Linked DNA regions of Notamacropus eugenii. The protein of the gene in region 4 binds, or shares a complex with, the protein of the main gene of each other region. Links are inferred from orthologs where the notes say so. Each region holds a gene or a part of one and is shown on either strand. Other genes may lie near its edges.

Region 1 (7,870 bases), on a different chromosome or scaffold from region 4:
AGAAGGAGAACGGTCTGAGGGTACAGCCCCAACAAAGTACAGACTTCCCCTCAACCTCAACTCTTCCTTATTCCCCCAGACCTCTCACCTGTGCTCATTCAACTCCATTTCCAGCTCAGCTGCTTTGGATGCCAGGCCTCTCTGTTCTTGCCGAAGGCGGTTGAAGCCAGCAACCACCTAGGGGAGAAGAGATGAAGTGAGGGAGAAAACTCTACGGAAGATAGCAAGAGCAGGCTCCTTAGGTGGTCACCTAAATGTTGAGAAAAGTACAAATTGGGTCCCAATTTGGCCCTGTTTATCCCTGTCTAAAGTAGTCTTCCCTCAAGGGATGATTTCTACCAAAGAAAATACAGGGCAATGGCCAGGACAAGTACTTATACTGGTACACGTTAGGAGAGCAAATACAGATGGACCCTCCACATATAGCTGTTCTCTGGGCTTTTGCTCTTTGTACCTACTATTTAGGGCTGAGACTATAAACTAGAAGAGAAAGAGTAGCCCAAATCCCGACCTAATCATTAATTCAGTGCCAAATCTATTCTTCCCTATAATCTTTCTGAACAAGACCTCCTTCCTTCTGTACTTTCACATCCAGAGAATGGAACAGTTACTACCTTAGCCGTACAGAATTCCTTACTTCTGGTGCCTCACTCACTATACAGTATATCAGTATTTGCTTCACCTCTATTTAAACTCCTCCAGTGGCTTCTGCTGCTCAATAAAATTACCTTGTACTTGGTCACTCTACTTCTGGTCTCTCAACATTCAAATTCATCCTTCACACAGCTGCCAATGAGATTTTCTAAAGTTCAGTTGTGACAACGTGGCACACTCCTACCCTCATTCAATAATGCCTCTTTTTAGCATTTAAAGCCCTTCATAATCTGGCCCCATCCTACCTTTCCAGCCTTACTGTACATTATTCCCCTCCATATACTCTTATAATCCAGCCAAACTGGCCTTCTTGGTGCTCATCACGTAACACTGTTCCCTTTCTCCATGCCTTTGCACTAGCTGTCTCCCATGCCTGGAAAACACTCTCTACTCACTCCCCACTTTTGGAATCCAAGTTTACTTGAAGGTTCAGCTCAATCATCATCTACTGCATAATGTCTTTCTTTATGCCCTTAATTCCTTGTACCTTACTTCCCCAAGGTTTCTTATATCAACATATATAAGTATATGCTGTCAACTTGTTAGAACAGAAATTTGAATTGTTTGACTTTTGTTGAATCTCTAGCTTCTGGCACAGTGTCTGACACATAGTAGATGCTTAACAAATAATGACTGATCAACTTGAACTCCAACAACATCCAAGCGACTCCTGTATGAATGCAAATGATGGAACCTACTTAGGAGGAGATTCACCTGAAAAGATAGAAGTTTCCTGAGCACACACTCAAAATGTATTACTTTGTGAAATAAAATCAATCCCTGAATCCCTGAGGTTAAAACAACTAAGGGGAATTAGATATTTAAAAAACAAAATTACTCTTGTTAACTGAAGGCCAGCGATGCTTCTAGGTTAGAGGTGAATTTTGAATCCAATGCCGCACCAAAGTGAATCCATTTAAATCTGTTAGAGAATTTTGCCATTTCTGTATAGAAAGATAAAACTTTTACCAGCTACCCAAAATCTTAGCTGCAAAGTTAAGAAGCAAAATAATCCAACACTAGCTCTCATGGGAATGCAAAATACTGCTCCCAGAAATCCTATCTACAAATTACTTATTGTTTTTTTTCCTTTTCCTGTCCAAATGTTTATGTATAATTCTCTATTTCTCTTTTCCTTATACCATACTGTTCTCATGTTTTCTGGCATGGCCAGAGATGACCAGATCCAAATGAGTATATACATGAAACATATATACATACAGGAGAAATGGAAGTTCTCCCAGAAGGAAGAGGGGAGGGAAGGCAGGGAAAAACTTCCAGCAAAAGGTGGAATTTGAACTGAGTCTTGGAAGCAGCCAGGAAAGTTAGAAAGTGGAGGTAATGAGGTGGAGCATTCTAAGTGAGGGGCAGAAGATAGACCAGCAAGAAGGCCCATGTCCCAGAATGCCAGACTACATGGAAAAGTTAGGAGGGGGGGCCAGGTTTCAAAAGACTTTAAAAGCCACAGACAACATATTAAATTTTATATTTGATATTATAGGAAGCCAATGGACTTTACTGAGCAGGGAATTTGACTGCCATGGTCATGCCAGTGTTTAAGAATATTCACTTGCAAGCTTTTTTAAAAAGGAAAAGAAGAAAGTGCAAGTCACATATTACACTGCGCCCGTGGTCAGGCACAGTACAATTTCGCGGTCCTCCAAGAACAGGGATCTTGGAACACAACCCTGCAGGGCTCAGGCGGTGGAAGTCGCTCCGGCTCGGCTCTCAGGTCAATCCTGCAGCCCCGCAGGAGGGGCGGGCCTGGAGCTCAGGCTAGCCAGGGCCGGGGCACCTCAAGGCACTTCCCCAGGCTGGTGGATTTCAGACCTCATACGGCTCTTTCACAGGGAGGGGTCTGCTCCCCCGCTCAGTCACAGAAAACTGGGGAGACTCCGGCGATCGGCGTCTTCCGGGCTCCTAGTCACGGATGGGGCCCCCAAGCTCCCGTCACGAGGGGCTCCCCCACCCTGAGCTCCCCGTCGTGTCCACACTCACCCCCCGTCTCCCCTCCGCACAGGGGGCCCCAGACGAGCCCGGGCTGCGGCAGGGGGCACCGCACGTGCCACGGGCCCCGCTCCGCGGCCCCCAACAGGAGCCGGGGCGGCGTACCGGCAGCTAAGCTCACCTGCTCCGCTGACACCGCCCCCTTGCCCGCGCCGCTGCTGCCGCTGCTGCCGCTACCACCGCTCTTGTTGGCCCGGTTGCCACTCTCCGCCATCTTCACCCGCCCGCTAGCTTGGGCCCTAGAAGCCCAGGGCTCGCCTCCCGGTGCGTCACATCCGGACGTCTCCGTCCCAGACTCCTCCGGATCCTGATGCTTCGAGAGCCATCTTGGTTAGGGGCACTTCCGTCGGGGGGGGGGGAGGGGAGGGCCCTGACATTTCCGGGTGCCCTATGGCCTCAAAGCTTCAAGACCTTTGGGCTCGAGGCGCGAGGAGGAGCTGCGGACACCAGTCTCCAGGGCTCCAGCTCCATGTAGGATCCTGGTCTGGGGCTTCCTCTGCTTGCACCAGGGCGTCCCTCCCCGGGAGGATGGGGGAGGAAGGAAAGGTGGAGCGGGGGCAGGGGCCGGGGGCCGGAGAGTGAGTGCACGCGTGGAACGCGGCGGGCATCGCTATCTTGCCCTCAGGGATTCCCGGCATCGGGAGGGAGAGACTTGTCCTACGTCAGTAAGTGACCTATGCCCTCCGAAGAGAGAGCGGAAGGCGAGCAGCGGGCCGTGCCCCCACCTGCCGGGGCTTGGCGGCCCGCGGCTAGGAGGCTACGAGAGGGGCGGGGCGGGAGGGCGGGACTGGTCACGTGCCTTGTGGGCAGCGAAGGGGCGAGAGGACCCCCGAACCTTTCTCTTCCAGGCTGAGCTCCACCCTCGGGCTGCCAAGAAAGTGCCCGTTCCTGCTGCGCTCTGCCTTCAGGCTGCCTGGCATCTCCCTCCTCAGTGACCAGGCGGGCACTGGGCGCAGCAGGTAAAGCCCACGGCCTCTCCTCGAGGTGGGAGCGGGCAAAGGGAAGACCCGCTATCTGCACATCTAGCTCTTCCTAGTTTACCAAGCACTTCATTTAACCCCCCGCCCGCGGAGGCCCAGGAAGGATGAGGGACTGCTTAAGGTTACGTAGGGGCACTGTCAGGACAAGAGCTGGAGCTAGTTGAGCCTTGTCTAATGTGTTTGCTGGTTTTCCTGGTGTGTCAGAGGCCAGAGATCATGTATGGAGAAGATGCCCGGTTCTCTTTTGAGCTCTCACTTTCTCCATTTGGGGACGCCTGGATCTTGCTCTTCACAGGCCTGGGACCATGGCCGGCTCCTCTCCTCGAGGTTTGCCCCTGGTAGCGGTGTGCCAGGTGACGTCCACGCCGGATAAGGAACAGACATTTGCAGCCTGTTCAGGATTGGTTCAGGAGGCTGCCAGGTTGGGTGCCTGCCTGGTCTTCCTGCCCGAGGCCTTCGACTTCATTGGTCGGGACTCAGCGGAGACACTTAGGCTGGCGGAGCCATTGGGTGGGGATCTTGTAAATCGGTATGCCCAACTTGCCAGGTATGAAAGGCAGCAAAGGAGCATTGTGGGTGAGTAGGCTCCGCTGACTGTGGTGGAGACGGGGTTCCGAGAAGGGTTGTTTGTTGCTTTCTCTACAGGGAATGTGGTATCTGGCTATCTCTGGGTGGTTTTCACGAACGTGGCCAACACTGGGAGCAGAGTCAGCGGATTTATAATTGTCACGTTCTCTTGGACAAGGAGGGTAAGACTTTGTCCCCAACTCCCTCTCAGTCCTCTCCTGCCCTTTTGAGTTGCATTCCTAGAATCCTGTTTTCAGCATCCAACCTCACTCCCTCCACCTTCCTTGCCCAGAGTGCTTGGAAACAATTTACCAAGCCTTCAAGGCCATTTACCAGTTAGATTTCCTCTGCTCCCTCTTGTTCCTCCTCCTCTTCCTCCCACACCCCCAAAACACATACACCTTGTGGACATAATGTTTGTGCCTCTGGTTCATAAGAAGTTCCCTCTCTGGGGTCTGGGGGATATAAAATCATCAGCAGAGTATTCCTCTTCTACTCCCAAGGCTCTATTGTGGCCACGTATAGGAAGACACACCTCTGTGATGTGAAGCTTCCAGGACAGGGACCCATGTGTGAGAGCACCTCTACTATACCAGGGCCCACTCTGGGGTCCCCTGTCAGTACACCAGCTGGCAAGGTTGGCAGGGAGGGAGGGGAGGAAGTTAAAGTGGGGAAAAGGAATGGGAATATGTAGAAGGGGGCAAAATGACAGTGGAATACTATATCAGAGTGGCCAGCACCAGATAAGCTAAGTATTCTACTTTCCTCCATCCCAGGTAGGTCTGGCAATCTGCTATGACCTACGTTTTCCAGAGCTTTCCCTTGCACTGGCCCAGGATGGTGCTGAAATTCTCACCTACCCTTCAGCCTTTGGCTCAGTTACGGGACCAGCCCATTGGGAGGTAAGGACCTACCAATATTTAGTACCTACGTATTCAACTGAACAGAAATGCTGTATTTCTTTCTTGACTCCCTCTGACTGTCTCTCAGGACTGAGTGGGGGAATCCTTGCTTCCAAAGGTCACTGCTCTAACTCCCTATTTCTCTCCTCCAGATGCTGAAGCTGATTTCATCCACTCTTGTTCCCCCCCACCAGGTGCTGCTCCGAGCTCGGGCCATTGAGACACAGTGCTATGTAGTTGCAGCAGCACAGTGGGGACAGCACCATGAAAAAAGAGGGAGTTATGGACACAGTATGGTGGTGGACCCCTGGGGCATCGTGATAGCACGCTGTTCTGAGGGGCAAGGCCTCTGCCTTGCCCACATTGACCTGGCCTATCTCCACCAGATACGCCAGCGTATGCCTGTGGCCCAGCACCGAAGACCTGACTTGTATGGTAATTTGGGTCGCCCAGACCCCTGACACCTGCTGACTGAACTGGGTCCTGTTCTGGGCCAGTGAGGATCTGTGGCTTGGAGGCAGGACCCCAGGCCGCTGATGAGCCTCTACTCCCTTTCCTTTACGGCATACAGGTTCAGCCTGTTGTAAAGCCCCAAAAAAATGCTTTTATGGGCTCAAACTTTAGTTACATATAGATGGGCTCTTAAATCACAATTATGAAAACTAAATCTACACCAAGGTCTAAGCACTAACAATGAAAAAAATACAGTCCTGAAGTCCAAGTCTCGACATCTCTTTTGAGGGTAAGGGGAACAATGTAGCATCAAACGTACTAGACAATAGTAACAAGTAGGGCCCGTTCATAACTCTTCAAAATGAATGCACAAATTAGTTTTTATCCCAGCCCGGTCCTAGGATTGAGAAGGAACTGTGGCAATTCAAGCACTGAAGCCCAGGAAGGGAAAGGCTATACTGAGACAGACAAAGCTCAAGGGGACATCCCAGCTCCGAGTCCACCCCAAGCCAAACGACAAATGAGATGGGAATGGGCTGCAGGATACGTTTATTTTCACTTGAACATGGAAGGAAAAATGCCACACGCCCCTTTCTCAGGGAGTGTGTGCTCCCAGCAACCCTTCTCCCCATCCTGCATACACACAGGCACTTGTGCACAGCGCACACAGACAAGGGGTTCTTGGGTGGCCCCAGGCCTCCCCTCTCACTGCTTCCTAGAAGAGGAGCAGACAGGGTAAATGAGGGACCCAGACTAGGAAGAGCCCCTAATCTCTGTCCCTGGGAGATGGGGGGAGAAGAAGGGAAGCACCAGGGCCAGGAGTGAACAAGTGAGGAGGCCATACCTTTACAAGTGTTATTCTCAGAAGGGCGGAGGGAATGTGCTGGTAAATTCCCATGATACAACCCTGGCTCTTACCTCTTCAGCAAGCTCCCACACCACAGCCCTTTGGTTTCTCAGACAAAACAAAACATAACTAGCCCTCATGAAGCTGGAGGGCAATTGAGAGAGCCTCCTATTGACCCCCCCCCAAACAACTTCAGCAGCGGTTCCACAGAGGGCTCTGACATCAGACTGCTGCTTCCTTCCTTGCCCAGGCTTGTGGCAGTCTGGGTGGAAGAGGGGGAGGGAGACACACCACTTCCACTTTTTTGTCTTTTCCTTTAAAAAAGAAGGGGAGGGGGAGCAAAGGTGACAGGAGGGGTGTGGAGAAAACCCCAAACAGTGTGTGAACTCCAGAGATGGGTGCCGAGCTGAGGACCCAGATTTGTGAAAGGTGAGAGGAGGGTCAGGGCAGTGCCTGCAACATCAAGTTCCTCAGGAGTTTCTGTCGGCCCAGCTCATAGTCCTCCTCATCCACATTCACCAGCAGCTTGATAGCCTCATGGCCCACAGCCTGTTTAAGTGAGTCTGTGATGAAGACACCTTTGAGCGCCTCCAGGAGGGAGCCGTTGATGTAGTCGCGCCAAAAGGCATCGAGGTAGGTGAGCTCAGAGAACTTGATGTCACAGATGATGGAACCCAGGTCCCGGGATTTGAGGATGGTATTGGCCTGGTTGAAACGCTCAAACTGGCGTTCAAGTGGGTCCTGCTTATTTGAGAAGACGTTGCCCTGCAGAGCTGTCTCATGCTGGCAGTATTCAGCCCTCACCCGAAGCCTGATGTCTACAGGAAAGAAAAGGTGAGTGCTTAGGCCATACCCTGTTAGAAAAGTGACAGGGGTGGCAGACCAAGGCACTACAGTAAGGTGGTAGTTACCCTTCTCCAGGGTAGAGTTCCGCTATGACTTCTCTATACTTGTCTCATCTTGGCATTTCCTTTACATACTCTGAATTTGTTTGAGCCCATGCTTGGGCCAAGAGGAAAAGGTCGTGAAGGGAAAGAGTTCTTAGTAATAGGGCACAGTAAAAACATATCGCCTCCAAATCAAACTTCATTTGGGGACATGGGGGTGAGCTTTTTCTATATTAAACAGACTTAGCCTCAATTGCATAAATTTAACTCCTTTTCTCCACCTTGGACAAGAAGAAAGTTAGCAGGGAGAGCCTCTTGAGAATCATTCCAAAAGGACAGCAGGACCACGTCAAGGCAAAGGGGCAGTACCTCAACCACTTTCATGTTCCCCTCTGTCAGGAAAAAAAGTAGTCTGCCTTTTGGAGAGTAATTCCACTCCCACTAGCTCCCTGCCTGGGCTGCACTAAGCAGAGCCTCCCTTACCGCATGTCTGTTTCTCCTTGGGGTCTGGTGTCACGGACTTCCGGCGCTTTCGTTGACTTACAAGTGTCGCTCTCCCTCGAGCTGGCCGTT
Region 2 (6,204 bases), on a different chromosome or scaffold from region 4:
AAATGGACTGGATATGTACCAACTCTCATGACATCTGTGGTCTATTCCAAAATCCCAGTCTTACAAAAGTCGTGTGTGGCGAGGCTAAGTACGTCACTAATCTTTTGGGGTTAATAGCGTGGAATACAATGATAGCTTCGTCATCATGACTGCTGACCGTCGAATAACATAAAAACTTCTTGTGTTTTGGTCAAAAAATGTATCTGCCTTTCATCTTTGGGCTAGGATATAAATACCTCTTTTCTTCCCATGTAGGGGCTTCAAGCTTCTGTATGAATGTAATATTTGATTATACTAGCTAGAGTAAAAGAATGAAGAGTTGAGGGTATGGGTGAAAGTACAACTTAAGCTTCTAACCAGACTCAGCAGCCCCACCCACTAGGAAAGAAATGAGGTTGAATGGACAGAACCAAGGTGGAACTATGGTTAGTATGAGAATTGGGGAGGGAGAAGGAAGGGAGGCAAGAGAACAGATCAAAGTAATGTAACTGGGTGGTTAGAAAACAAGGCAGGGGTCAGGTATTTTCACATTTTATTTGCCACAGTGCAGGTAACCCACAGTCTTTCCCTACTTTATTCTCTCCCCAACCAAGGAGGTCAAACCTTTCCCATAGACCCTGCCTTGGCAGCCTGGGCACGCTGGAACTCCTGCTGCAACTGAGCCAGAGCTTCACGTTGTTTTTCAGATTGCTTCTCCAGATCTCGGAGCTGAGATTCATATCGTTTACTAAAGAGAAATAGGAAAAACACAAAAAGATAATCATGCTAGCTGCTTCACAAGTTTGTCGGGGGAAAAAAGGGCTTAAGACAATTGTACAGCGGTACATTAGTGAGCTATTGAGGGGTCAACATGACTTACTACTGGGGAACAGATGGAATTAAAAGGGAGACAAAAAAAGAAGAAAAGTTGAAGTATATGTGACAATGAAACGAAAACAACATCACATTAACATAAGATACAGTCAAATGTGGTGGTGGGGCAGGAAGGGAGGATAATACTTACATCTCTGCTGTGATATAGTCCAGTCGCTTGCCCACAGTAGCTCGGGCCTCCCCCAGTTCCTGTTTGACCAACACTGGGCCCAGAAGCTTAAACACCACATTGGATCCATCCAATAATGCTAACTCCTGGGGATGGAGAGAAACAGTTGGAGACACAAAATGCCTGGAAGTGCCTCATGGCTCCTGGACACCTCCAAACCTGGTCCCTCACCTCTTTTACGATGTTATTTTCTGTCAGTTGTGCCTCCAGTTTCTGTCGACTAGACATAGATTTACTCAAGTCTGGGGTGGGAAGAAATGGGAAAAGAAAAAAATAAAGAAAAACTGAATGAAAATCTGATAACCTGAAACACCCTCAGTCCCAATAAATCAAAGAGAGTCGTGTCGTGGGTAGGGTCTGGCGTGGATGAAGTCACAAACACTAATGATGAAGCCATTTTAAACAACAGATCAAAATTTATACACAAAGCACTTATTTCCTCCCTCTCTGCACCACCACGGCCTGCGAATGGAGGGCAGGAATGACAATGCCCATTTTACAGATGAGGAAAACAAGGCCTGGAGAGGGGAGATGACACAACAGCCAGCACTTAAGAATCTTTTTGTAATACTCCCTTCAGAAGGAGGGAATTTGGACCCAGGCTGGGTGGCACATAGGGGTCCCGTGGGAGGCTTCCCTGAATGGCTAGCAGAGAAGCACCGGGTCTGGGTGGGCGTGTGCCGAGGCAGCTCCGAGCCCCTCCTCACTCACCCTTTTGGAGCTGCTGGTACTTCTCCAATTCCCCCTGGAGCTTTTTCTGAATCACCTCCGCCATGGCTTGGAGAAGGGCCCGGGAATCTCAGGAAGGAGGCGTGGGAGAGTGTCACTCCACAACCGGCAGCCTGGAGGCCCGCCTCGGCCGCTACACGCGCTCCTAACCCTCCTGACCCGAAGAAAGATCCTGAGCCACACACAGCGGTCCTGCACTTTCCCCTAGCACAGCTCCGGAACCCGGAGGTAGATAGGGGATGCTGGGAAAACAAGAGGCACATGGCAAATGACGGGCGGAAAAAGGACAACGTAGGCACAGGGTACGCCGGGAAATGTAGTCCTAACATCCAGACCAGGCCGCCGGAAAGATCGGCTCCTCGAACGGATTCGGCGGCGGAACATGAGCCTCAAGAAAATACAAGGCAACGCTGTTGTCGATTCTTGAAGTCCTCCCTGGCTCTCCACTTTCATCCTTCATTTCTCATCTATTACCGACACGTCATGATCGCCGCGCCGGTGTCCGACATCTCCGCCAGAGGATACAACTTTACCCAACGTGGCTTCCGGAAGACAGCTGTCTTGGATTGGTGGCTAGTCTTCGGGCTCCGCCCACTCCAACTACGACTTCCGGTGTCTTCCTTCAGTTGATGGTGGGACCGTGGAGTGGCCTTTGCACGTGGGTTTTGGAGGAGTTTTGGGACCGAGGCGCATGGAAGAGGCTCCAAAGTCGGGCAGCGGGGCCCGGGTCAAGGCCCAGGGCAAGAAACAGGTATGGTGTGCCTCTGCCCCTTGTCCCGGCGGGGCAAGCGGGAGGGACCAAGGACGACCCGAGCCGGTGGGCCATCCCATTTCTTCTTGGTTGTGAGTGGCAGCACTCATGTTATTAGTCTAAATCCATAATTCTTAATTTTGTTGATGTCGTGGGCTGCTTTGCAGTCTGCTGTTATTTAGAAAAGTATTTTAATGGCATAGAGCAAAATTCATGACATCCGGCAAAATATTAAAAATCAAATTGATGGTCTAGTAGTAGATGGGCTTCTTTATTAGCGCGATGAATACTAATACAATACTTTTAAAATATAAGCAAGTTGAAGTGAAATTTTGTTTTTTAAAGATATATCAGTGTGAAGGCTGTTATTGCTGAACTTGACTAAGAAGTTAAATTATTGGGTTGTCTTTCACAAGACAACAGGCTTGTCATTTTGGATATCCGTGTGGATTTTGGTTTTTTGTCTTGATGGTTACAAGCGTTTTAGAAGCCATATTCACAAATTTGTGTTATTGCAAATGGAATTAAAGTTTCTACTGCTTGCATTATAAAGGGAAGGTAGCCTAATCTCAAGTAACACTAGAATTCATTTTTTGGTATAGTATTTAAGTGGCTTTTTTTGGGGGGGGCTAAATCTGTGTAGATATCAGTAGTTCACATTTTTTGGTAAGTGAAGTGTGTAAGACATACAACAAATTGTATGACAAGTAAGTAAAATGAGACAGGTTTTACAATTTATTCAAAGTTTTAGCACTTTTCAGTCTTCAATGCCCAGGCGTCATGTCTTTACTTGACATAGTTTGGGTGTGGGGTGAGAAAGAGTCTGGCCTGCAAAAATCTTGCTGTCCCCTGCTCATCCCTACCTCGTTTTTTCCAGAAACCTCGACGCTACTGGGAAGGGGAAACTGATGGAGCCAATTCCCTCCCATCCGACCCTTTCACTGCCCCTGCCCCTGCCAGGGGGACCAAGAGGAATAGGGAAGACTGGTCCCAGTCCAGGGGTGTCAGGGTACCTAAGAGGTCAAAGCAGAACCAGAAGCATCTGAGATCCAAGCAGAACCAGAAGCATCTGAGGTCGAAGCAGAACCAGAAGCATCTGAGGCCAAACAATAAACAAGAGCTGAGACCAAGTCAGACCTTATCTGGGGTAAGATTCAGGTTGGGAAACAGGGAGCCTTGATCCTTGGGTCAGTAGGTAAAACTAAGAGGATCTCGTCAGCCCTCAACCAGTCTTCCTCTCATGCCCCTGTCACTTTCTGAGGTGTTTTGATATGGATTTTGTGGATGGAGGGGAAAGAGCAGGATCTCTCTGTAGAATTAAGGTAGCAGGTCAAAGTGAGAGTAAACAAAAGGTCTGGAGAGGAATGGGAAGGAATTTGGAGGAAAGAATGAAGTGGTGGGACCATTAGAATGCCTCATTAGCCTAAATTTACACTTAAATAGCGGTTCACCCAGAAAAGTAGATCTTGGGTTTCAAAGTACTCTGTAAATGTGAGGCATTGTAACAGTAAAAGCATGAGGGAGGAGGAAGGGATACCATCTCTGATGCAAAACTTCATCTTATCACCTCTAGGCTCAGGATCCATTCCCAGGGCCAGCCCCACTCTCAGAGGCTGCTATAAATAAGTTCCGAAGAGGCAGTTCTAAATTGGTGAAGGTAAGAAGGCAAATTGGGGAGGAGCAGCAGAGGGTCTTAATGTCCATCCAGTGATTGAGAAAGAAGACCTGAAGTTGACAGTCTTTCATCACTCACCTGTGACCTTTTATTTTCCCATTCTTCATTGTTGATTCACCAGTTATTGAGAAGGAAGAGTTAGGGTTCTCAGTCCTCTGATTTGTAACCTATGACCTTTGATTCATCATTCTCTCAGAAGCATCCCCTTAAGTTGGTGACTGAGCACAAACTCAAGGCAGCTGCTGATGAAGAAGAGGAAACAAGTGTCCGTGCAGCCCGGGCCGAATTATTGCTGTCTGAGGAGCCTGGGTAAGTGAGCTATTCTTGCTTGGCATCTTCTTGTTCCACTTTCAGAGGTCAGTAACCACAGCCCCTGGGATCTAACCTGTGTTGTGGTTGTCCCCTATCTCCCTCTCCATCCCCTTCTCATACCCAGCATTCTCAGTTCTGCTGAACTCTGTCCTAGTGAACTTTTCAATGAGCCCTCATTCTTCACAGATTCCTTGAGGGAGAGGCAGGGGAAGACACAGCTACAATCCGCCAGGCTGACATTGTAGAGGCTGTGGACATTGCAAGTGCGGCTAAGGTGAGGTTGAAGGCTGGGAAGGAACTGATGATGATGATGTGGAGAAGACAGCTATATCATGATGAGTGGGTGGGAGGATTTCCAGGCTTGGCTGACCTCCTGCATGTCTCTGTACTTAGCACAGTGCTTGGCACATGGTAGGTGCTATATACGTGCTTATTCCCTTTCCCTTTCCTTCATAATGTAGCATTTTGACCTGAACTTGTACCAGTTTGGACCCTACAGGATCAATTACTCACGGACTGGAAGGTGAGGGACTTTCTCCAGTTTGCATAGTGAACCTTTCTCACAATGTTCTTTTCCAGCACAATGCTTGGCACATAGTAGGTGCTTAATAAATATTGATTGATTGATTTTCTCATCCAAGGGCAGTGAGGTCTCTTTGTCAGTAACACTCTGCTGCCTTCACTCACTGTCTTTTTCTGGGTGGGGGAGAGAGATTTAAGGTATCAATAACTGTATGCATATATTCTTTTGACCAAATATCTGTGTCCTCCTTTTTTGGGGGGTGGGGGGGGAGCGCAAAGCAGAGCTCTAGGTACTAAGGGTTCCTAACACTAGGATATCTGTTTTTCTCTTCCACCAGACACCTTGCCCTGGGTGGCCGGAGAGGTCATGTGGCCACATTTGACTGGATAACAAAGAAATTAATGTGTGAAATCAACGTCATGGAAGCTGTGAGGGACATACGGTCAGTGGGATCCAGGGCCATCATTGAGTGGGTGAGGCTCACTGACCTTATGAGGGTCTCAGGGAGGTTGAGTACCTGACTCATCTTGAGGTCATTTTATGGTTTGTTCTGTGATTCTTGACTCCAGTTTCCTGCACTCTGAGACATTGTTTGCAGTTGCTCAGAAACGCTGGCTTCATGTCTATGATAATCAAGGGATAGAGCTCCACTGTGTCCGAAGGTGTGATCGTATCACAAGACTTGAGTTCCTGCCCTTCCACTTCCTGTTGGTCACAGCTGTGAGTCATGCTCAGGAACTAGGAGAAATTGATTAACCTTGGGAAATGACCTCTCCAACTGTGGAGCAGGAGATGTTTGGCAGAAAGTCTGGTAAAGGGTGTGGATTGGTGTCAGGGTGATGAGGGTGGGAAGAGGCCTTGGTTGTAACTCTCTGTCTCATTTTCTCCACCGTCCAGTCAGAGACAGGGTTCCTTACCTACTTGGATGTGTCTGTCGGCAAGATTGTAGCCTCTCTGGCAGCTCGGGCTGGACGTCTGGATGTGATGACCCAGAATCCCCACAATGCAGTCATCCATCTTGGCCATAGCAATGGTTAGTAAATGTTACGTCCTGACCCATTGCTGCTTTATGTCCTAGGACCCTCTGACCTCCCTTGCTTTTTTCCCTATCCATTCCATAGACCTAGTGGTCAAAGCTGGAAACACTCCTTAGAAATTATTTAGCTCAACCT
Region 3 (7,151 bases), on a different chromosome or scaffold from region 4:
CTCTGTAGCCTCTTATCCAGGACCGGCCTGGTTTACACCACCTCCCTCCCTCCCCCTACGACCGACCGAAGCCTGCCCCGGCCCAGAGCAGCCCGGAGCCGGCCCAGAGCACCACCGGGATAGAAGAACCGGGGTCTGGCTGACGTTATCGATCACGTGGTAAGGGAAGGCCGAAGGGGCGGGACCCGTGAGTCAGAGCAACCAAGCCGCCACCAAAGGGCGGGACCAACTAGAGTGGCAAATCTAAAGCCACTAAGGAGACAGATTGTGCGCCTGCGCAGAAAAAGGCCCAGCGCAGCTAGATGAATTTCTTCAGTCTGCGCCCACCGAGGTGGGAGGGGGGGGGGGGGGAAGGAGGCGGAGGAAAGGGGCCAGCTCGAACACAACCATAAGAACAAACAGGAAGAGAACAGAGACCGTGGCTCTGCGACTGCAGAGAAGATAATGGTAGGGAGGAAGGCTGCCCCATCTCCATGGCAACAAACATTCTCCCCTCCCCAGCCTCATTCCCAGCTTTTATTAAAGGGATTTCTGATTTCAAGTAACAAGAGTTGGAGCCTCAGTAGCAGTCTTCTTAGGGAAAGGAAATTCTCAGCATCCTAATCAGTGTCCTGGATGATCTGGCAGCTCTTGTAGCCCCTGCAGCTCCCGAAGGCCCTTCGAGGGAAGAGAGTACATAGGATCGGAAGTTAGGTTCTAAAATAAGCTTTCCACTGACACACCTTCCACCCTCCTGCCCTTCTTACCTCCAGCACCAATCGGATGTGGGCTTTGATCCGAGCTGAATCTCGGGTGAGGTTGTCACTTAGCCTGGAAAAAGATAGCTAGACTTAAGGAGGGAATAGCATGCTCGCTCAATTTGGTATGAAAATCTATCTTACACGACAGTAGGGGAGAAGGAGATAAGGGGGGCGGGGAATGATAGAAGGGAGGGCAAATGGGAAGAGGGAATAATTAGAAGTAAACACTTTCCGGAAGGGACAAAGTCAAGAGAGAATAGAAGAAATGGGGGGCAGGATAGGATGGAGGGAAACATAGTCTTACACAATATGACTATTATGGAAGTCATATACCCTATACTGAATTGCTTGCCTTCTCAGTGGGGATGGGTGGAGAGGGAGGAAGGGAGAGAAGCTGGAACTCAAAGTTTTAAGAACAAATATTGACAATCCATTTTTGCATGTAACTGGCAAATAAATACAGGTAATGGGGTACAGAAATCTATCTTGCCCTACAAGAAAAGAGAGAAGATGGAGATAAGGGAAGAGAGGGGTGTAATAGAAGGGAGGGCAGATTTGGGGAAGGGGTAATCAGAATGCACGGTGTTTTGGGGTGGGGGAGGGGAGAGATGGGGAGAAAATTTGGAACTTAAAATTTTGTGGAAATGAATGTTGAAAACTAAAAATAAATAAGCCGTTAAAAAAAAATAAAGATGGCCAGAGCTCGTCAGAGACCCTTTCCCTTTCCCCCTCACTCCTGTTCCCCTCAAACCCTGGAAAACCTACGAGGTGAGCAGGCGGCTTTTCCGATCAATGAACCTCAAGGCCTCCATCAATGTCAGCTCCAGGAAGAAGCCGTGGCCGAGGGCCACAAATATCCGGGAAGGGTCTGGCCTGGAAGACAGAGGCATTTCTCAAGGGGCTCTCTATGAACCTCGTGGCCCCTCTGGGGCTTCTCTGCATTTGGGATGGTCTCTGAGTTCTGGGATTAGGAGGTGGGGTGTTCCTTATGGAGTAAGGGGTTTTTAAGCCAGAGTCTGTGAACTTCAAAAAAACAAACAATAAAAAACCCTGGCTACCTGAAATGGAATGGAACTGATCTCCTTGGAGTCCATATATTCTATTTCATGCACTTAACAACTATGCTGGGGGCAGGGGCCCATAGGCTTCCTTCCACACTGCTCCAGGGTCGATCTAGGGTGATCCACTGATGAGGGGGGGACTCACACTTCGGCATTCACGAAGAAGTTACACCCCAAATCCACCTGTGTGTGCAGCCTCTGATCCCCCGATTCCTGCGGGAGGGGGGGTGCTTAGAGGGCGGGCCAGGCCGTCCCAGGGCCCAAGGGAGGGGCTCCCGGGCGCCCCGCCCCGCTCACCTGGAGCCGCTCCAGGACGTTCTTCAGCTGCAGGTAAGCGGCCAGCTGTCCGTACACTTCCTCCCGCTGCGCCAGGACCTGTCTGGGGTGGGGGGCAGAAGGGGTGTCTAGGCCCCGCCCGCTGCCGCCCCCCGCAGGCCCCACGCCCCCTCGCATTTACCTTAGGTCTCGCTGCAGGACGTCGCTGACGAAGGTTTCATACTGCAGGACCTTTGCCTGGACCCCCCGCGGTGCCGTCGCCATGCTGGCCACCCGCATCCTCCCACCCCCTTAGCCCAGGCCCCTCGCCACTCAATCCAGTTCAGCCAGCCGCGCCAGCAAAGACCCGCTTCTGACTTCCGGGGGTGAGCCGCAAGGGGAATGCATCACTTCCTGGCGGTTCTGCGTCACTTCCTGCCGCGTACTCCCCGCCCCTTGGGTCACGTGTTTGGTTGCGTGGCCTTGCACTCCCAGGTGGGTGGGAGCTGCCAGGCTGAAGCATGCGCAGAAGACCTGAAGAAGCAGCTGTTTCTGCTGGCCCCCGAGATCCGGGAGACTCGTCTCGTGACCTTCCGGTTTCGAGACTTTGCGCGGCTTTGGCCCCGCCCTTGAAATTCTCTGGCCCGCGGGCTGTCAGTAAGACAGCAAGCATTCAGGAAGCGCTTACTCTGTGCCAGGCATAAAAAAGCATCTTGGCTTCCCTCTCTGCCTTGCGGCCTGCCCTAGGCCTTCCCCCCTCAGATTGCCTGCCATTGACTACACTTTGTACTGACCTATTTGGTAAGACTGGGACCTCCTTAGGACCAGGAAGCCACCTTGAGGGTGACCTTGGGGACCCAGACTCCGGCACTGCTTGCTCTCCGCCTACACACACACCCACCCCATACAACAATTCTGGCATTAAAAAATACTGACATCTTTGAGGCTGGTTAATACCACCAACATTTCTTCTACTATCTACTCCCAGAGAGCCAACCCATACAGAAAATAATGTTTGCTAAAGAGGGAAAATCAGCAAATCTGATCAGTGTAGAAAAAAGTCTAAAACAAAAAAAAAATCTCTACCCTGTACCATTCACAATTCCACAGATAACACATATAGATCTTTCTTTTTTTACTTATGTTTATAACATATTTGTATGTGTGTATATATACCCAGAGAGCATACAAAGCAGTTTTGGATTAGATCAGATAGGGCAGTCGGCAGAAGTCACTTTTAGTATGAAAAATGTTGACCTGAAAACTTGGTTTAAAAAAAGAAGGCAACAGGCTAAATGCATACATTTTATGATTTAATTAATTAATTAATCAATTCCCTATTAAAGACAATGGCACCATAATGCATTATGGAGCCAGAAATGTTCTGGCTACCAATACAAAGAATTGGGCGGCCTTAAATATGTTTTAGGACAAAGAAGTGTTCTGTGTCCTTCAGATTTATGATCTCCATAAGTGACTAACAAGACCATTAGAAAGAAATTTCTTAATTGCATAGGCTGTAAATACAATAAGATAACAGAGTTTGACAAAGTTTCACATAGAAATTATGACCCAAGATGTCTATATTTTCTTTACCACTAATATGCCATAACAAACATAGTATATGTCTATAGATAATAAGATCTAGTGTCTTAGGTTAAAGGTCTCCTAAGGAGTGTAGAGTCAGCCTTGGCTGGCTTTTGCTGACATAGGAAGAAGCATTCTCTGAGTTTGTTTCAGAGAGAACAAAGAGATTATTCCAAAATTTTACATTAAACATTATCAAAATTAAAAGAATGCTTAATGTATTAGCATGTGTTTGTACATGGTTGCCAAAGAAGACCATGCCATCAAAGAAATAACATGACTTCCACTTGACTTTGCTCTGAGTGAGGGAGGGCTGTGCAGGTCACCATCCTCACTGCTCCTCCAGAGTCATCTGAATCCAGTGACCAGATATTCATCAGGATGACTGGAGATGACCCAGGATGAGGAAATGGGGGTTAAGTGACTTGCCCAAGGTCACAAAGCTAGTGAGTGTCAAGTGTCTGAGGTGAGATTTGAACTCAGGTCCTCCTGACTCCTGCACTGATGCTCTAGCCACTGCACCACCTAGCTGCCCCAACATATTAGGATAGCTATTTACATCAGACCAAAGCAAACAGTATCTTCTTTATCAGTCACTTAATGAACATTTGTTAAGCTCCTACAAGCTTTATTAGATTGGAGAAGGAGACGAGTTCTTAGAAATATTCAAATGAATTCTCTTTTGTAATCATAAAGTGGTTGGGGGAAGGGAATTACTGAAAAAGACATTCAGTGTCTCACAGAAAAAGAAAGAAACATACCAGCAAATACAGCACAAACTAGTCAGTTAGTTGGATGCCACCTGTGCTTGTTCTTTACAGAGAATTTTCATTTTTGATTGTTCTATGACTCCTTCTACTTACATTGTTGCAGCTCACTTTCCTCGGCATCAGTTCATGGAGATCTTTCCACACTTCTCTATTTTCATCACTTTTATCATTTCTTACAACAGAGTAACACTCCATGCCAATTCATGGACCACCATAAATGTAGTTATTCTCTAATGGATGAGCATCCACTTTGTTTTCTTATGGGAATAGCCAGTGGTTCCTTGACCTGCTGCCAGTCTTGCTTTTCAACAAGCAGAGAACTAGGAGATAAAATCAAGGTTTATTTTATATGCTTCAGCATAGGTCCAGAACTCAAAAATCTCTCTCAATCAGGAACAAAGTGTAGATTTAAAAGTTTAGATTTCCTAAAGTTTACACAGTTTCTAATCTCATCAGAGACACAAAGAAAAGAATACAATTTTGCATTACAGTGGCTACAAAGAGAAAGGAATCACTGATAAGAGAAAGAAAAGATTTACATGACAAAGATTATGCTGACGTGATTTGTATTTCAAAGATAACTGAAGAAGACAATCACATTAGAGCTAGTTCATCAAAAAATCACTAATGAGGGAAAAATCTGGGATTGGGGTAGCATGAATTCTTTTATTCCCATATTTTTTTTTTATGTAGATCAAAATAATTGGGAGTCTTATGAAAATCTCAGCCAGCTACATGACTTTCCTTCTAATTAAAGTGGCTTAAATAATACTGGAGAGAAAGGAATAAAAAATTCTTACAACTCCTTATGGTCATAGAAGGAAATGAAATGTCTCTCTGTAACCATATTCTCATACATTCTGTCAATCTCCTTTCTAGATGTCTCAGCATCAGTGTTATGGCAAACATTTCCACAGGCAGATAAAATATTGGACAACACTGAATACAACAGCAAAACAAAACCAATACACGAACAAATATGGGCATCATATCATAATTTCCTTAATCCAGCTTTTTCCTGACAACCAACCCAAATAGCCATTTAAACAACATATTTCTTATTCTGTTATCATGGGTTTAACCGTCCCATAAAGTCATCTGATTCTGGGAAACATTTTCCCTAGGAAAGTCTGTGCTCATGTGGTTTGTCCTAGACCAGCATTTACAAAGTTCAGACATTCATTTCAAATATTCTGATTTCCTTAAGTAGGCTGTCAGTTTTTAACTAGCAGGAATAGATCTGCTTCCCAAGTTCCAAGTCACTTGCAGAGAGGTAGTGCTGCTCAAGTCTGCTTGTTTTGTGTCCTTCATTTTCTTTTTTTTTTATTATTATTTTTTAATGTTTAACAATCACTGCCATACAATTGAGATTTTATCCCCCCCACACCTACCCCCCACTACCCCCCTCCCTCCCCACGACTGCATACAATTCTGTATAGGTTCTACATATACTTTCCTATTGAGTATATTTTCACTATAGTCATGCTATGTAGTCAGACTAAAATAAATGAAAGAAATCATATAACAAATCAAAACATGATACACAAACACATACACATACACAAACATGATCTGCTACATTTTGTGAATGACTTCCATATTTCTTTTTCTGAGTGTGGAAGGCATTTTGCCTTGAGTGTCCTTCATTTTCAAACAGTACCAGCGACATCATAGGGTAATGTCTTGACTAGTTCATGAACTGGATTAAAGTGAAGCAGAGCTGCACAAAGTTGTCAGCCTCACTCTTTCTTCCAGAGCCATCAAAGTCCAGTGACAGGACAAAAGTCAGGACAATTGGTGAAGGGCTAGGAACACAATGGATGACGTAGATGTCCCACCAAGCCCTAAGCGCTCAACAATGGCTGCTTGAGCCACCTTCATGGCTGTTAGAACAAACTCTTCTCATCAGCCTATTCTGCCAACAGAAGTCTTTACATGCTTGGGACAGACATTCCCCTAACTCACCAATGGGTTTTGAGGCCTGTAGGTTACCTTCAACCTGGTTTTACTGGGCTGTGGCTGCTGTATCTGCTATAACTTCTTGGAGCCACAAGTGAGAGTTGAATGCCAGGTGGATATCAAAGGTAGATAAGTAGTCCTGAAAAGGACTGGACAAGCGCTCACACCAGAGGTTAGTCCTCCCTGAACATTCACACACCCCTGGAAAATGTTGTCCATAAACTACAGGAGAAATTGGATTTTGCAACACAAGGCTCTTTTTGTCTCTTGATAATCAGAGAAACTTCAAACAGAAAAAAAATTAATCTTTCATTTAACAATAGCTCATAAAATAAGATGCAAAATGGGTTTAGAATTTTTTTTGAGGTTCAAGCTTTAATAAAAAAAATTAACTACCATATCTGTGAGAAACATACCTACTCGAAACAAAGAACAATATTTGTTGTGAAATCAGGAAAGCTTTTATTATTTTTTACGTTCTTTCCCTCCTAATGGACGGCTATACTTACTTCATACAAATGCACCGTTTATATGGCCAGCTTTCAATTTGAATTTCCCGCCTGCCCCCCATAGTTCAGCATTCCAGGGTTCACACATTCCTCATTTTCTTTATAGAATGACATGTTATAAATTCTTTTAAAGGAATTCCCTTAATTGATTAAGAGACCAAACCCAGGATGTTTTAGGCTCCTTCCCCATTTACATAAGAAAGTAATTAAATTCTTCAAGTTGTGGATTTTATCTATAGAGTAGTTTGTCCTAAGACATGTTAATAAGCA
Region 4 (6,932 bases):
TTCCTCACTGAATTCAGTACAAGGCTCACAACTTAGCTTTCTTCCCCAACTCCTGCCCTCATATTAGAGGATGTCAACATACATATTAATTCTTCCTCAAATACCCTAGCCTGTTGGTTTCTCAATCTACTCACTTTCCATGACCCACTCCAACTCCCTACTTCAACCATACAGAGCCATACACTCTTGATTTTATCACTCACAAATGCACCCCTTCAGTGTTCAAGAATTTAGAAACCCACTTATTTGATGATAATCTATTGGCTTTCCATTTCTTCTCCTGCCTTCCCTTAGCCAGTCCTATTTTTTCCGCATCTTGATCTCCAGTCTTTTGACTGCTCAATCTTTTCCCAGGCTATCTCCTTACACTAGTCACTCTCTATCCTCTTTTCCCCATCCTGACCCTTCGGTGAATCAGTTCAACCCAATAATGCCCTTCTGAGTCCTTAGCTCCTTTATCATATTGTTAATTATGCCCTGCCAAGCCTCAGCCTTAGATTACTCCCACCCTCTACCATCTTCACTCCTACACATGTGAAGAGAATGAGGGTGGAGAAAATCATATAACAGTTCTGACTGGATCCACTGTATATTTATGTTACATAACCTCAACTAGGCCCGCACTGCTGCCAGGCAATCCTCAACAACTCACTATCTCATTCTCCACAGTGACTCTTCCAAACCTTTTTATCCCTCCTCATGCCTTTCATAGTTCCCTGTCCCCTCACTCTATTAGCTGAGAACCTTGCCTCATATGTTACAGAAAAATTGAGACCGTTTGCTCCTTCTTTAACCCTCTTTCTCATTTCATATTGCCTAGATGTCTTCTCTAACTGATTGCTTCCTCTGTCATCCCTACTCTATCACTTATTTTCAATCTCTCCTTTTCACTGGCTTCTTCCCTATTACTTATAAACATACCTGTGACTCTTTCCTAAAAAAACACAAACCAAAAAACCCTCACTGGATCCTTCCATTCTCTTTCATTATTGGTCCTTGATCTCTTCTGCCCTCCTGCCTTAAATGCTAAATTCAATGGTTTTTTCCTTAATTCTCTTTCTTATTCTTCTCAATCTCTCTGCAACCTTTGAATCTGATGGTTACCCTCTTTTCTCTAGCTTTTTAAGGCTCCAATCTCTCCAGTTTGTCCTCCTACCCATCCCAGTAGACTCTCAAATCTACTGAACTTGCCCTAACCTCTCTGCTGACCTCCAATCTAGCTTTTCCAACTGCCTTTCAAACATTTCCAACTAGATGTATTAGACCTCTTAAACTCAACATGTTCAAAACTGAACGCATTATTTCCTACCTCTACCTCATTTCCCCCCTTCCCTGCCTCCTAGTACTGCAGTGGGCAATACCATCCTCCCAATCCCACCTAGGAGTCACCCTGCACTACCAGCTCCCCTCCCATATCTGAGCTGTGGCCAAGCCCTGTCCACTTCACCTTTGCAACATCTCTCCAATACACCCCCCCTTTTCTCCTGACACGGGCACCAGTCTAGTGCGGACTCTCAACACTTCATATCTGAATTACTGCAATCGCCTGTTGTTGAGTCTGCCTCAAATCTCTCCCCAAATTCATCCTAAGCCACTAAAAAGAAGACCATGCCATCAGAGAAATGATGACATGACTTGCACTTGACTTTGTTTTGAGTGAGGGAAGGCTGTGTAGGTCACCAGCCTCACTTCTCTTCCAGAGCCATCTGATTCCAGTGACCAGATATTCATCAGGATGACCGGAGATGACCCAGGATGAGGCAGTTGGGGTTAAGTGACTTGCCCAAAGTCACTCAGCTAGTGAGTGTCAAGGGTCTGAGGTGAGATTTGAACTCAGGCCCTCCTGACTCCTCCACTGGTGCTCTATCCACTGCACCACCTCGCTGCCCCCAAGCCACTAAAACGTGTTTCCTAAAATGCAGGTGCGATCACATCACTTCTCTACTCAATATTCACTCCAGTGGTTTCCTATTGCCTCCTGGAGCAAACATAAAATCTACTGTTTGGCATTCAAAGCCTTTCCCAACCTGCCCTTCTCCCACCTTTCCAGTCTTCTTAAGTCTTCCTCCTTAACGTGAACTCTTCGACTCCCCCTGGCTGTTCCCCAAAGCAGACTCTCCATCTCGTTAGGGGGCGTTTTCTCTGGCTGTCCTCCACGCCTGGAATCGCCCCCCCCCTCCCCCACTTCTCCGGCTTCCTTTACATCACAACCACAATCCCACCTTCCACAGGCAGCCTTCCCCGACCCTTAGTTCTGGCTTTGTTTACACGCTCGGCACGCCTTCTCCCCGCAATAGACTTTAACGGTTCGCTTCGTTTTGTGTCCCCTGCACTCAGCCCGAGGACCCGCACGGCTTAACCGATATTTATTGACTGAGCGGCCGTCCCTCTTGGAAGTTCGGGAGACCCACAACGGGGGACGGGGTCAGTCGGGGCCGGGGGGCAGCGCCGAGGGCGGGGGGAGGCCCGGCCGGCGGCACCCACCTCCCGCAGCAGCGTCACGTCCCCGTGCTGGATTTCGTAGATCTGGATGACGCCGGTGCCCCGGGCATAGTTGCCCAGAGTCACGAATTTGGCACTGCAGGGCACCCACTTGCAGTCAAACACCGTGTAGTTGAGGCTCTTCTGGATGTGCGCGATGATCTGAGGCTTCTCGAAAGCCGTCATGGCAGGACGGGTCCAGGTGCCCCGCTGTTAACCGCGTCGTAGCCAACTGGGCAACGAGTCTTCGCTACGCACTGTCCACACAAGAAACCGTTTGGCCCTCCCGCTTGCCGTACTCCGCATTCCTCTCACTGCCCCCCACAGAGAAAGTTCATTTAGTTGTCCTTATCAATGCCTGATAGTTATTGCGACAGTCCGCAGCTTCAGACCGAAAGTTTCCTCTCTTATTCTTTCCATGACTTCCTTGCACTCCGGATAAAGAGATTCCGCGCGGCTCACATCAAAACTTCGGCTGCTGAAGAGATGGAAAGACTTAGGCACAACGTCAGCCAGCCTGCTAAGGGCCAAAAGGAGGTGGAGCTATCCAGTGACGTAAGGGACGTGTTGGGTCTTCGACGCGCGCCTGCGCCTTGTCCCATTGCACGTGCGAGAACCGGAAACCTCTGCAGTAGCCGTTCCCTGTGGGGAGTCATGGAAGCGGCGATGGAAACGCAGAGCGCGGCGGAGGACGGGGACGGTTTCACCAAGATTTCTCGCACGACCGGCAAACGGGGCAGAAAGCGGCGAGCGGAGGAGCAGCAGCCGGAGGGCCGCGACGGCGGTGGCCAGATGGATAGCGAGGGGCCCCGGCCGCACAAGAAGCCGGTTTTTCCTCCGTTGTCTGGGGACGCTTTCTCGGTACGGTCTGGAGGGGGCGGGGCGGGGGACGGAGGTCGGGCTGGGGAGACGAGGCAGTTGGTGTCCTTTAGTCTGAGAGAGGGGCCCGCGACACGAAGGAGGAGAATCCCTGGCTCAGAGCTCTGAAGCGCCGGGGTCCCCGGTGGATCCGAGTACTGACCGAGATGAGGGGAAGCCTGAGTGAAGTTTCGTGGCTGTTTCTTTAGCTGTCCGCAGAGAAGTTGCAACACCTTCCGAGATGAAGTATCTGTGGAGTTTGTTGCCCTTTGTTTTATTTTTTTGTGTAGTGACCTGAATTATTTTCAGTCCGTTGTAATACAATTAGATAGATTTGCAGGGGAATGAACGAGAAGGAAAGAGGCAGTAATCTGTGGCATTAACTGGTTGCCCTCTCAGAGTTGCTGGACAGAGAAATGTGGGCGGCGGGGGATGCTCTCTGGGATGGGGGAGCCTGGAGGCAACACTGCACAATGGATAGAGCTGGTCTCTGTAATCTGGAAAACTTGAGTTCAAGTCTCTGCTCTGAACGGGTGGCACTGGGCTTGCCACTTAACCTCTTAGTGATCTAGGTCACTCTCTGAGGCTGTAAGTTGTACAGAAAGGGTTGACCTGCATCAATAGAGGGGTGGCGGCGTATTGACTTTTCTCCCTGATTTCACTTTGTATTACATTTATCTGTCATGCTGTAAACTGCTGGAAGGTAGGGACTATGTCACTTAAAAACCTCTTTTTTCCACCACCTAGTTTAGTGACTTGCACATGCATAATGGTCCTCGGATGACAGTGTATTTTTGGAACCCAGGCACAAGCCTGGTGGTGGTAGAAGCTGCAGAGAACTTTGGTAGTTGAAACATTCAGGAACCCAATACAACTTCCATGACCCCTGGAGTCAGGAATAGGCTTTAGTGGTTTTATTTATTTACTGCATAAAAATGTGATGTTTAGTTTTTGTTCCATGAAAGAGATAAGGGGATCAACTTTCTCTTATTTCGTAATTGTGCATCTTTATTTTAGGGTGGCAAAGGTGAAATGAGGAAAATTCCAGTGCCTGCCAACAGATACACTCCATTAAAAGAGAACTGGATGAAAATATTTACACCTGTTGTAGAACATCTGGGTCTTCAAATACGATTTAACTTAAAGTCAAGGAATATAGAAATCAGGGTAAGGAGAACACCAACTTTTTTCCAAACAAATATTTCTTTCTCTTACACAGTTTGAAGCATGATCACCCCTTTTCCTTATTGTTATTATTCTGTTTAATAACCTTTTTAAAAAATAGTCAATAAAGTTTTATCCTATTTATGTTCATCTTACATCTCTCCATTTTACTGTGGTTCTTTGGAGATTGTAATATTCTGTAATCTAAAAGGCCTTATGCTATCAATAGGAGGTATTTTAAAGATGTAATTTGAAGGACTTTGTCATGTTTTTTGTAGAATTTCCCTTCATCCTTTAAAAATATGTTGTGTTTCTTGGTTTGTTTGGGGTTTTTTTTGGTGGTGGTAGTGGTGCTCTTGAGCCTTCGCATTGCTTTAGATTTGCACAATGGATCTTTGTTTTCTTCATCCTTCCATTTAGCAGCAATTTCTTTTGCCTCTTGTGGTTTTATTAAAGCAGGCCTGCACAACCTGTGGGCTGCATATGCCAAAGGATTTCCTTTGCGTATAAAGGATGTTTTCCTCTACATTTTTTGTGGGCTACCTGAAATCCTTTGACATGCTACAAGCAGCCCACAGGCCACATGTTGTACAGGCCTGTATTAAAGCAATAGTTTTAGTGCTATTATGGTTTAGTTCTTTCAGTAGCATCTAATTAAATGTTCTAAAAACTATGATTATTAGGACCCCCTCTATCTTTCCTTTTCCATCCTTATTCCACACCCTTTGGATATCCCACAGGGCTCTCTCTGGACCTTTTGAAGGGAGCTACAGAAAATTAGGTCTGTTTTTGTTCTTGTTTTTTATCATGTCCAAAGATTTCACCAACTAGTGGTCAACTTATTCATGATCTGCTTTTCCATACTTAACTAGTTTGGTCCATTCACAACATTTGTAATTTACCTGTAATCAAAACTTTCTTTAACTTGGCCAGAGCTTGTGCTGGCATATCCCTCAAGAACCAAGGATTACCTCCAGTGAAGCACTTCTGACTTTGAAATATAGAAACATACTTTTATACTTACAGAAAATATACTTTTAAATATACAAAATGAAACAAGTTTTTTCCTTTCCATTTTCACTGCTAGGTGTTCCCCCCCTTATTTTGAGATTGTTTTAATAGCCTCCTGACTGGTTTCCTTATCTCAGATTCCTCTGGGCTCTCTTTGCCACCAAATTAATCTTACTAGAATTACACTGTTTTTAGTGTGGTCATTCAAAGATAGTGAGGGAATTTGAAAAACAGCATATGAGAAATCCTTGAAAAGAATGGGAGGTTTATCCTGCCTCTTGTGGCTAAACTCCTTGAGAAGGTCATCAACAATAAAGCCTCCACTTCCTTTTCTCTCACTTCTTAACTCTGTCTTCTCTCTTTATTTTATTTATTCATCTGTCTATCTTCTGATCTTATTCAACCTCAAATGCTCTCTTCAAAGTTACTAACGTCTCTTAGTTATCAAATCTAATGTTTTTTTCCTCAATTCTCATCCTTCTTGACCTCTTTGCAGCCACTGACATTGTTGATTATCTCTTCTGACAGCTGCTTCTCAGTCTTCTTGACTGGGTCATTATCCAGTTTGTGCCTACTAACTGTGGGTGTCCCACAACACTGTCCCAGTTACTCTTCTCCCCTTCCTCTTTACTATTTCATGATGTGAAGGGCTATTATGATGGTGATTTCATCAGTTTCTGTGAATCCAATTAACTTATTGCTTATGATCTATTTATCTAGCCCTAACTACTGCTGACTTTCAGTCTCAAAATTTTAACTGCCTTTCAGACTCTCAAACTGGGTGTCCAGTTATTTATGCGTAATCTCCCTCATTGTGAGCTCTTTGAGAGCAGGTGTTGTCTCTTACCTTTCTTTTTATTCCCAGGGTTTAGTATAGTGCCTGGCAACATAGTACTTAACACATGTTCGTTGACTGACTCAAAAAAAAAAAAAAAAGATGAGGTGGAATTATGTAACATGATAGCCTTTCACATATTCATCTGGAAGAGAGATTATGACTGTAGAAGTCAGGAGGAAGGTCAGTGGGTTTCAGAAGCTTAAATCATCAGATTCAACACTTTCTAAGGGCGAACTTTTTTCACAAGTAGAGATGTTCAAAACTAGAGTGTTATTATTTATCAACATTGTCTTATTAATATACTAAACTCCTGAGCAAAAGCTGAATGATGACCTCAGGGATGTGGTGTGTGTTAGGACATTTCATTAAATATTCTCTAAGATTCTTTTTGATGATTTAACTCAAAAACCTTTGCTGAATTTTCTTTATAGTCAGTGGAGAGCCAAAACTCACTCTGCCTTTTAAGTCTTTTGGTAATCACTTTTCTAACCTTAAAACACTGTCCACTCATGTTGGTTGGTATACTTAATGTTTTTCTAACCTTTTACCTGACCATTGCTTCCTCCCTATTTGTACCCAT

The links.
Region 1: DNAAF10 (region 4) and PFDN2 share a complex: the UniProt entries of both Homo sapiens proteins name them as parts of the PAQosome complex. The link is inferred for Notamacropus eugenii from reciprocal best matches to the Homo sapiens genes DNAAF10 and PFDN2.
Region 2: DNAAF10 (region 4) and PFDN6 share a complex: the UniProt entries of both Homo sapiens proteins name them as parts of the PAQosome complex. The link is inferred for Notamacropus eugenii from reciprocal best matches to the Homo sapiens genes DNAAF10 and PFDN6.
Region 3: DNAAF10 (region 4) and UXT share a complex: the UniProt entries of both Homo sapiens proteins name them as parts of the PAQosome complex. The link is inferred for Notamacropus eugenii from reciprocal best matches to the Homo sapiens genes DNAAF10 and UXT.

The regions. Positions count from the first base shown.
Region 1 is NC_092873.1:267,547,258-267,555,127, forward strand, and holds the start of PFDN2 (prefoldin subunit 2), read right to left. Parts: upstream 2,972-7,870; 5' UTR 2,876-2,971; coding exon 2,783-2,875; intron 178-2,782; coding exon 89-177; intron 1-88. Other genes in the region: NIT1 (deaminated glutathione amidase), read left to right, coding at 2,972-3,132, 3,510-3,620, 3,937-4,188, 4,287-4,390, 4,712-4,845, 4,985-5,110, 5,263-5,571; DEDD (death effector domain-containing protein), read right to left, coding at 6,852-7,228, 7,781-7,870. UniProt on the Homo sapiens protein: Binds specifically to cytosolic chaperonin (c-CPN) and transfers target proteins to it. Binds to nascent polypeptide chain and promotes folding in an environment in which there are many competing pathways for nonnative proteins.
Region 2 is NC_092873.1:89,315,081-89,321,284, reverse strand, and holds PFDN6 (prefoldin subunit 6), read right to left. Parts: upstream 2,091-6,204; 5' UTR 1,818-2,090; coding exon 1,754-1,817; intron 1,285-1,753; coding exon 1,214-1,284; intron 1,129-1,213; coding exon 1,004-1,128; intron 728-1,003; coding exon 598-727; 3' UTR 516-597; downstream 1-515. Other genes in the region: WDR46 (WD repeat-containing protein 46), read left to right, coding at 2,463-2,522, 3,400-3,669, 4,096-4,179, 4,394-4,506, 4,696-4,783, 4,971-5,032, 5,370-5,474, 5,602-5,752 and 1 more. UniProt on the Homo sapiens protein: Binds specifically to cytosolic chaperonin (c-CPN) and transfers target proteins to it. Binds to nascent polypeptide chain and promotes folding in an environment in which there are many competing pathways for nonnative proteins.
Region 3 is NC_092879.1:101,807,878-101,815,028, forward strand, and holds UXT (protein UXT), read right to left. Parts: upstream 2,476-7,151; 5' UTR 2,357-2,475; coding exon 2,259-2,356; intron 2,181-2,258; coding exon 2,099-2,180; intron 2,015-2,098; coding exon 1,947-2,014; intron 1,614-1,946; coding exon 1,506-1,613; intron 811-1,505; coding exon 747-810; intron 658-746; coding exon 604-657; 3' UTR 503-603; downstream 1-502. UniProt on the Homo sapiens protein: Involved in gene transcription regulation. Acts in concert with the corepressor URI1 to regulate androgen receptor AR-mediated transcription. Together with URI1, associates with chromatin to the NKX3-1 promoter region.
Region 4 is NC_092872.1:635,459,021-635,465,952, reverse strand, and holds the start of DNAAF10 (dynein axonemal assembly factor 10), read right to left. Parts: upstream 3,016-6,932; 5' UTR 2,668-3,015; coding exon 2,485-2,667; intron 1-2,484. Other genes in the region: RNA-binding protein PNO1, read left to right, coding at 3,136-3,342, 4,357-4,506. UniProt on the Homo sapiens protein: Key assembly factor specifically required for the stability of axonemal dynein heavy chains in cytoplasm.